Linked DNA regions of Cricetulus griseus. The protein of the gene in region 1 purifies or fractionates together with the protein of each later gene. This does not show direct contact. Links are inferred from orthologs where the notes say so. Each region holds a gene or a part of one and is shown in the gene's direction. Other genes may lie near its edges.

Region 1 (5,161 bases):
TCCTTGCATGATTATCTGTGGCATTTTAAGCCTTTAAAGACTTGGTCAGCCGGGCGTTGGTGGCACACGCCTTTAATCCCAGCACTCGGGAGGCAGAGGCAAGAGGATCTGTGTGAGTTCGAGGCCTGCCTGGTCTCCAGAGGGAGTGCCAGGATAGGCTCCAAAGCTACACAGAGAAACCAAGTCTCGGGGGAGGGGAGGGGGAAGACTTGGTCATAATACTGTATGCATGAGAAAACTAAGTCTTCCTACAGTTGTGTTCTTACTTAAAGTCCTGTGGGTTTGTTTTATTGTTTTATTTATTTATTTGTTTATTTATTTATTTTGAAACAGGCACTTTTACTGGCCCATGATAAAGTTGCTGAGCAGGAAATGCAGCTAGAGCCCATTACAGATGAGAGAGTGTATGAAAGTATCGGCCAATATGGAGGAGAAACTGTAAAAATAGTTCGTATAGAAAAGGCTCGAGATATTCCATTGGTAAGTTTCCCACCTCTATACAATGCTGCCGTTGAAGATTCTTGTTACGTTCCTGGAGAGTTTTCTTTTGTGGGTCAATTTGTTGCAGTTCTACTATGCTCTTGCTCAAAACCCTTATTTGGCTGAAAATTAATTTTATTACCTTGTCTCCTAATTTAGTGAAAATAACAGCTTATGAAATACTTACTGAGGATAACTAATTTTCTTTCAATTTACCCTTTACAACAACAGCTAGAAAAATCTAATCTTTGGGACCTAGGTAGATGGCTTCATTGGAGCGTGCTTGGTGCATGTGCTGGGTACACATGAGGATCCAGTGGTTGCACCCCAGCACCTCTGTGAAGAGCCAAGGTGATGTTATGTGATCCCAACTCTCTCAGAGACAAGCAGACTTCTCTGGAGCCTGGCTAGCCCCCAGCCTAACCAAACCAGTCAGCTCCAGGTTTAGTGACCTCGTCTCCAAATATGAGAGTGATTGGGGACTTCTAGAGCACACATGACTGTACACACACACACACACACACACACACACACACACACACTACAGTATTAAAATATTTTAAAAAAATAATGTATAAGCAGTTTACATAACTGGTTCCTTCCAGGAGAATAAAAAGGGAAGTTATGACAATGTTAAAGTAAATTATTAAGAAAATTAGGTGGTTTTTAAAAGATTTGCTTTTTATGTATATGTGCTTGAGTGTACGTATGTGTACCACATACATGCAGGTACATGAAGACATCAAAAAAAGGAATTGGTTCCCCTGGAACCTGACTTACAGGGATTTGTAAGTTGACCAATATGGGTGCTGGGAACAAAACCCAGGTCCTTTGAAGGAGCATCAAGTGCTGTTAACCCCTGAGCCCCAGAAAATAAGTTTTATCTTGTATCCTACATTTCTAGCTTTTGAGTATAAACTTTTTCACTTCCAATTTGAGTATATACTTTTTCACTTCCAATTTGTATAATAAATATTAGTATTTAATACATTTTAATGTGAACTGGCTACAGCTATATTTAACATTTGCATAATTAACCATAATACTATTTATCACTTAATTGTATTTTGAATTTTAAGAAAATTTTTTTCTTTTTTGGTGTTTTGAGACAGGGTTTCTCTGTGGCTTTGGAGGCTGTCTTGAAACTAGCTCTTGGAGACCAGGCTGGTCTTGAACTCACGGAGATCCACCTGCCTCTGCCTCAAAAGTGCTGGGATTAAAGGACTGCACCACCGCTGCCCAGCAGAAGAAATTCTTTATAGTTAGGCACTGTGTTTATTAATTATACCTAGATGTTTTCTAGCTATTAGAATAAGATCCAGAAGAAAACAATTATCATTTTATGTCATTAAACACTGAATACGTTTTTTTCCTGTTATTATGTGCTTCAGAAATCTGTGTGTTTTCAGAAGTTTAATGAATAAAGTGTTTCTGAAACAGGAAATTTGGGGGGGTACATTGCTTTCACATATAATTAGTTATTACTATAGCAGTGAGAGTAAATTTATTATCAAGATAAGTTAAAGGCTAGTCTTATTAGATTAAAACATAGAATTTAAAAGTGAAATACTTAACAAGAAATTACAGTTTTATGTTTAAATTACATGTTGGGTGTTTTTAGGGTGCCACAGTTCGTAATGAAATGGATTCTGTCATCATTAGCCGGATAGTGAAAGGTGGTGCAGCAGAGAAGAGTGGGCTCTTACATGAAGGAGATGAAGTTCTGGAGATCAATGGCATTGAAATCCGGGGAAAAGATGTCAATGAGGTTTTCGACTTGTTGGTAAGTTCAGACCATAGAATAATAACAGATTCATTTAAAAATGTGCTTTCTTATTAAACTTAGAAGGGATTATATTAGAGTATTTTTTTTTTTTTTTTAGAAATAACTAATGAGTATTAGTTATACTTTAGCCTAACTTTAGAGCATTTGTCAATTTGTGTTATTTTTGGTTTTGGGTTCATTTGTTTTTATTTACTTTGGCTTTATTATAACAACTTTATTTTTCCTTTTATTATTTTTTTTTAAAGATTTGTTTTTATTTTATGCATGTCTGTACACCTTGTGCATGCCTGGTGAAATAAATTAAAATTCAGTTTCTTATTCTCACTAGCTACAATTGAACAAGATTTATTGTGTAGTTAATGGCTGTCATCTTGAGAGATAGCCGCAGCACATTTCTCTTGAGCAAATTCTGTTGGGCAGTGCTAGTATAATCAGGTACTCACTTCTAATTACCTTTGTAAAAAGAATTTTTTAAGATTTGTTTGTTATAAGTGTTTTGTCTGCATATATGTATATGCTCCATGTACATGCCTAGTATCTGAGAAAATCTGAAAAGAGCAGTAGATTCCCGAAAGCTGGACTTACATATGGTTGTCAGTCACGCTATGGGTGCTAGGAATCAAACCCAGATTCTTTTTAAGAACAAGTGCTCTTAATTGATGAGCCATCATTTTGTTTTCCTTCCTCCCTTCCTCTCCCCCCTCCCCTTCTTTCTTTCCTTGGTTTCATATGAAATCCTGGCTGTCCTGGAACTTACTATGTAGGCTAGGCTGGCCTTGAACTCAGAGAGGCACCTATCCATACCTCCTGAGTACTAGGATTAAAGGCATTTGCCACCACCCTCAAATAATTGTATTTTGAGAATGATTTTTGATCATATTGCACAGAAGTACAAATTATGATTTTTCCTTTTCCTTTTTGAAGATAAGGTCTCATTCTTATCTTAACCTAGGCTGAAATAAAACTCAATATGTAGCCTAGACTGACCTTTTGGTGATTCTCTTTCCATGCCCTCTTAAGTGCTGCAATTATAAGCATCAGTTAGTGCTCCCAGCAACAATGTTTATATTCTTATTTAGCGTCAGTGTTACAGTAGTATGTCTACTACTTGCTGATTAATAAAGCTAGAAAATATCCATATCCCTATTTTCACCAAATATCAGCTCCGGGAGAACAAAGTGTCATTAGTCATCACTTGTAGCCTATTTTATTGGTGGATGTCTCAGGTTGAGTTTGTTCCCTGTTTTGTCAGTAATAAAAGTTGTAATGATTGATGCCTAGGCTGGTTATTTCTGAAAACAGCTAGTGCTGTATTGGACAGTAATTACAAATCTAGCCATACAACTCGATACAGCAAACTGAACAGAAAGACTAAATAAGGAAGGAATCTGGGAATTTAAGACATTTTCCTATAGGTCTCAGATCATCCTGTTTAGGGAGTTTGATCATAAGATTGTGGAATGATTTTCATAAATATTTCTAAAATAGTTCAACCTTTCTGTTACAGTCTGATATGCATGGTACTTTGACATTTGTTCTGATTCCTAGTCAACAAATCAAATCTCCTCCTGCCAAAGAAACTGTAGTAAGTAATGTTTAAATATTTATTGTTTATTGTTCCTTGACTTCTACTTTTCTGTATCAGAAACTTCACTGTGTGGTGTGTTCAAGTAAAAACAGAGAAATTGGGTGATTTTATTTAAATAAGTATAAGATATCAACATTTAAAATTTGGTAAACTCTGAACATTTTAGAAGATATCCAACATACTTCAGTCTCAGAATTTTTATTACCATTGATGTTTGTCTACAGTTATAAGTGACTTTAGCTCAGTAACATAGAAGAGAAAGGTACATTTACAAATATGTGGAACTCCTTACTTTAGTGTATTGCTGCGTGTTAAATATTTAACTTAGCTCTATTAAATGATAGACTTGATTACTGCACAACACAGCAAGTTCCGTTAAGTATATATCCAAGAGAATTGGAAATATGTATTCATGTACAACTTGTATGTGAATATTCATGCAGGTATTATTTGTAAGACCTAAAAAATTAAAAACAACAGCAAAACTTCTTAAAATAGCTTCCACAATCATTAGAAAACACAGTATAGTTTATCTGTCTGTACAGTGAGATATTATTTGATGTGCAATTTGGGAATTGGGAGAGAACATGAATGTTCCCTCATTGGTATTGAGTACAGGAGAGTTAAAAATAGTCTACCAATATCAATGGTTAGCCTGTCGCTGAATATACTAAAACTATAAACTGTGTAGCGCTATGAATTACATCAAATGTCTATTTTCATATCAAGAATAGAAGGTTCCCTAGGGAACTCTCTTAAACAGAACCTCACTTGAAAATTGGACAAAGCATCTTTACCATATTGGCAAACAACACCCAATTAAAGAACCAGAATGTCATCAGCATCTAAAACTCCCCACCTTATATGCCCTTTAGCCATTATTCATCTTGTAATCCACCCCACACCCAGCATAAGCATTGTCCTCATTTCTAGAAACTCTAGTTCCTTTACATTTTATTTTCTATAAATGTATTGCATAGATTTGGATCATATATAGTAAGGATATTTTTCCCAGTTGATCATCCTGATTTAGATAATTTAGCCTTGTGGAACGTGCTAGTTACATGCACTTTTAAAAAGAAACACAGAGCAGCAAAGGCACAGTTGCACCCATCATGAAGTTCACGGGCTATGACACGCCAAGGAAATTTAACATGGGACCTGGTGAGATTAGTCTGCCTTTTCTAATGGTGGTAGTTTAGAAGCTGCATACCTTACTGAGGATCACTATTTTCACAGGTCAGACTGTTTCTATTCTGCTTACCTTGCCCTTGATGCACCTTTGTTAGCTGTTAACAGTAACTCAG
Region 2 (4,859 bases), on another chromosome or scaffold:
CAAATGGGCCGAGTCCACAGCTACAGTCTAAAGGAAGCATTCAGGCTTCTCTGTAAACAGGGAGGCCCAGGCAGGCATCCTGGAGGCTTTATAGACTAATCCATTCATTCCTTCATTAGCAGAACTGAGCTAAGCACTGGGCCAGTGTTGGGCAGAGGGTGGGAACTCGCCCAGAAAATGGCAGGGAGGTGAGATAAGCTTAAGGCCCGCGCGCCCAGGTTCCCACAGGTTCGAGAGAAAAAGTGTTCATGATCCTGGAGATTGGTGATTAGGAAGCCCCTGGTGATGGGGGGAAATGTGTGGGAACAGCAGAAGCAGGGCTGCAGGGAAGGAGGAAGGTATCAGACTTGAGGGGGAGTGGCAGGCTTGTAGGGAAGAAGGGAAGAAATTAGAGTACTTGGTTAAGGGGCATCTAGAGAGGGGAGGACAGCTTCTGCTGGCAGTGTCCTCTTCTTGCTTCAAGGACTTAGGGCCCTCGAGAGCTTGCTAATCAGCCTTTGGCAGGAAATGGGCCCAGGTTGGGCAAGACTTGAGCTATCCACTACCTTTCAAAATGAGGTGACAGTGGCTAAAGGTCTCTGGAACGGAGGTGAGGGGGGAAGGAGGTGTGTCGCCTAGGTTGCCCTTGGGAGTCTGCAGAGGACCGACTGCTAGGGGAAGGGAGAATGGGGGTGCTCTGGTAGGAAGGGCGGCTTTTGGGCCCAGGCTTTGGCAAAGAAAGGAAGTCTTAGGGAGGGTTTCTGGAAGCCTGCAGAGGGGGAGGGGGGCAGAAGCAGCCGGGAGGCGTTTCCGCTCCCCGGGGAGCGAGCTAGCGCCAGGCTGTTCTTGGCTTCTTGCTGGAGCCATTAATCTCGCAGCCGCGGGTGACCTGGATGCCTGGCATTCCAGAGCCTCTGGGCTGTTCCGCTCCCGGCCGGCCCCCCTCTGTTCCCTCCCATGTGCGCCTGACAGTGGCGCCCTTCGGCCCCGGCGGCGCCCAGCCTGGCTTTGGGAGGAGAGAGGGTGAACACAAAGGGTGACTGGATCCTGAATATGGGGCGCCTGCTAAGCAGGCTTAGCCACCCACTCCCTACCAAGGTATCTTAGACGTTGTACTTCTGGTCTCCAGAGAAATAGGAAGCCACTCTTAGTTGAACAGCCTGAGACTCTCAAAGGACAAGTGCTTTGAGGTGGGTTGTAGGCCTAGAACATCACTTAGAGAAGTCTGTGCTCTGTCCTTGGCCCAGCTAGATGGAGACATTCTCTGAGCAGAGCTCCTCCAAGCAATTAGCAAAGTGGTCAGAGATCGCTGGAATCTTGGTTGCCAGTCTTTGGACTAGCGTCATTGCTGTTGTGCTACAGGGTTAGAATTCTGTTGTGAGCATGTGTACCTACATGTGGGTCCCCGAACCATGTGAAGACAGGGGTACTGAACAGGAGAGGCTCCAGTCTGCAGGCTGTGCTCCAGAGCCCACACTTGGGGCCAAGAACTGCACACACAGCCAGATAGCTAGAGCTTCTCAGGCAGCCATTTGGCTCCTTTGTTTCTTCCTCTGTAAATCAAGAACCACAAATCCTACCTGGGAGATTGAGTGGGATAAGACATGAAAAGTGCCTGCCCCCTTCTTCCTGCTTGAACAATGACCTTGTTATAGTACCCTAATCTATAAAAGGTTGGCTCGGTTCCCGCCTGACCAGTCTCTAGTCCTTATAAAGCTTAAGGAAAACTGCATATGTTTCGGTGATGGCCATGCCTGGCACCATTCAAGCAGTGTCCCAGCTGAGAGGCCATTTAGTTCAGTTATCTGCCGTTTGCTCTTAACCTGCATCTCACTGCAACACACAACTCCCAGGCGTGTCAAGAGAGTGAACAGCAGTTGTCGGTACAGAGCCCAGTAGTGGGTGAGTGTGGCGACCATCACTCATCACTACTCCTCGTTGTCTCCTCCACAGGCTATGAACAGCAGCAGGAGCAGGAGAAGCTGGAGCGGGAGATGGCGCTGCTGCGGGGCGCCATCGAGGACCAGCGGCGACGAGCAGAACTGCTGGAGCAGGCGCTGGGCAATGCACAAAGCCGTGCTGCCAGGGCTGAAGAGGAGCTACGCAAGAAGCAGGCCTACGTGGAGAAAGTGGAGCGGCTGCAGCAGGCGCTGGGACAGCTACAGGCTGCCTGTGAGAAGCGGGAGCAGCTGGAGCTGCGTCTGCGCACGCGCCTGGAGCAGGAACTCAAAGCCCTCCGTGCACAGCAGGTGAGCCCAAGAAGACCTGTGTAGCTGCCAGAGCTGGGCAGAATCCAAGGAATCCCTGATCTCTGGTCTTTGTCCCCTGGGAGAGATGATGCTCCATGTCCCCCTTGGCTGCTTGGTCCTTCCCATTCATCTTGCACAGCAAAGGCTCTGCCATGTGGTCTGTGTTCAGGTTTGGAGGACTTGATGAGTCTTACCATGGCAGGAACAGAAACTGGGACCTCAGTACCGGAAAGTAGTCGCTAAGAATGTTCATGCAGAAGACTGGAGCACTCTGATCTATCTCCCCAAGATAGGAAGTAGATGTCTGAGCCCCGAGTCTATTCTTGCTATGTATTTGGACGTAAATATTTTTGTTGTTTACAAACCAGGTAGAGTTCTGTGTCCACACCCAACCTTACCCTGTCATAGAATGACAGGGACCAAAACTTACTTGTTCGGTGTGGTTATCACTCATATTCCCGCTCCTACTTCAGAGGATTGCTTTCCTAGTCAAGTCATCCGTGCCCTTATGCCCTGGCTACCATAAATTGGGAGAGAATGTGAGGACCTTTGTTATCCCCTGTACCCCTGGGTGGAAGCAGGAAGGGGAAATGCGTGCTGCAGATGACTGGACAAGGTATGCATGTGTTAAGGTCTTTGCATCAGCATAATGACCAAAGTCCCACACACCCTAGCCTTTACCCTTGACCGTGATATTCTTTGCTCTACAGAGACAGGCAGGCACCCTCACTGGTGGCGGCGGCAGCAATGGTGGGTCTACTGAGCTCAGTGCCCTGCGACTGTCAGAACAACTGCGGGAGAAGGAAGAACAGATCCTGGCTCTGGAGGCTGACATGACCAAGTGGGAGCAGAAGTATTTGGAGGAACGGGCCATGAGGCAATTTGCCATGGATGCCGCCGCTACCGCAGCCGCACAGCGCGACTCTACTCTCATCAGACACTCCCCTCAGCCCTCACCCAGCAGCAGCTTCAACGAGGGCCTGCTGGCAGGCAACCACAGGCACCAGGAGATGGAGAGCAGGTACTAACTATAGGGCCAGGCAGGGGCATCTGGGGGGAGTGGGGTGGTGGTAGCCAGTCTCTGCTCAGTCCTTTGTCCCTGGACTAGGACAAAGGGCCCCACCCTTGGCAGCTCAGTATGTTTGGCATTCCAGAAATTATAAACAGTTGTTCCCTCAGTGAATCCCTTCCGTGCTCAGGCTGGAGGTGGGTTGGTACCATCCAAGGTCTGGCCATTCTGGGTTCTCGTGCCTGCTACTAGCACTGGGGCCTGGCTCTTGCGATGAGGTGGGCTCAGGAAACATCCGTTGCAGAGCATTAGTGACATATGGGGTCCCCCTCCCAAAGGCAAGAGGTCCTACCTGCCTCAGAGGGATGTCTGAGTTTCCTCCCAGCTTCTGTGAGGTGGGTAGAAGGCAAGGGCTGAGTCCGTGAGTCTGACAGTGTGGCCTCCCACAGGTTGAAGGTGCTCCATGCCCAGATCCTAGAGAAGGATGCAGTGATCAAGGTCCTTCAGCAGCGATCCAGGAAAGACCCTGGCAAGGCTACCCAGGGCACCCTGCGGCCTGCCAAATCTGTGCCATCCATCTTTGCGGCTGCAGTGGGGATTCAGGGCTGGCAAGGACTCTCATCCAGCGATCGGCAAAATGATGCACCTGGCCGGCTGACAGTGGGTATGAGGAGGCTTGCAGTGGGGTGGAGAGGAATGGGAATGTTTGACAGCACAATACCAAACTCTTAGAATACGTGACTACTGAAACCAGGGCTTCCTGGCCCTTCTTCTAGGGAACCTGGCTTAACCTTTGGCTCCCATGACCCTGAAACCCACAGGGGGCCTCCTAGTGGGTGCTGGGCCTCCAGCTGCTTACAGATAGAGATGTAGGCAAGTCTCCACTGTTCCTCAGCAAATACTAAGAAGTCCTGGATTTCCACTACAAAGAAGGGGTGCCAAGCATTGACGCCTAACTTGACCCCACTTATTCCCATTCCAAAAATGGACCCTTTTATTTTACTAGACATCTTGCAACCTAGGAGCAGCTCAGTGTACTGAGTTTGCTTGGGATATTCCTCATCGGGGACATTGTCTTCTATATCCTGTTGTATCCATCACCCTCCTTTCTTTCCTACAGACCGTGTACCGGCAGAGGAGCCCCCGGCCACAGCTCCTCTCCCTACCCACACCAAGCACGGGAGCAGAGATGGAAGCACTCAGACTGATGGCCCTGCAGACAGCACCTCTGCCTGCTTAGCCTCAGAACCCGAGAGCCTCCTGGGGTGTAGCAGCCAAAGGACAGCCTCTCTGGGTAAGCACCCTGCCCCCACTTCCCCTGACCCGTATATTAGATGGGGGCTGAACTGGAACACGTGTTTTCTCCAAACTCATCCTCCATGGGAAGCCCCATGGTATGAACCAAGGGTTGTTGGAGGCATGAAACCCTCAATGGGAGGCAGACCTATAGTTGAGAAAGAAAGCGCCTCATCAGAAGGCACTGTGCCTCCTCCAGAGTTTTCCTCACATATCCTGCTGGTCCAGATTTCTAAGATCATGGAGCTTGACAAGTGACCCTGATGGTGATCTTGAGTTGGGAAGCTATTGGAAGAGCCCAGAAAAGAGGAACTTGAGAAGAAGCC

Evidence for each region.
Region 2: the proteins of Mpp5 (region 1) and Amotl2 purify together in Homo sapiens (affinity purification with mass spectrometry; 3 studies listed by BioGRID and IntAct, counting the BioPlex papers as one, with this or other methods). This does not show direct contact. The link is inferred for Cricetulus griseus from reciprocal best matches to the Homo sapiens genes PALS1 and AMOTL2.

Annotation. Positions count from the first base shown.
Region 1 is NC_048598.1:124,817,911-124,823,071, reverse strand, and holds part of Mpp5 (MAGUK p55 subfamily member 5), read left to right. Parts: intron 1-333; coding exon 334-480; intron 481-2,101; coding exon 2,102-2,263; intron 2,264-3,773; coding exon 3,774-3,851; intron 3,852-5,161. UniProt on the Homo sapiens protein: Plays a role in tight junction biogenesis and in the establishment of cell polarity in epithelial cells.
Region 2 is NC_048597.1:210,968,477-210,973,335, forward strand, and holds part of Amotl2 (angiomotin-like protein 2), read left to right. Parts: intron 1-1,932; coding exon 1,933-2,228; intron 2,229-2,938; coding exon 2,939-3,249; intron 3,250-3,686; coding exon 3,687-3,901; intron 3,902-4,357; coding exon 4,358-4,531; intron 4,532-4,859. UniProt on the Homo sapiens protein: Regulates the translocation of phosphorylated SRC to peripheral cell-matrix adhesion sites. Required for proper architecture of actin filaments.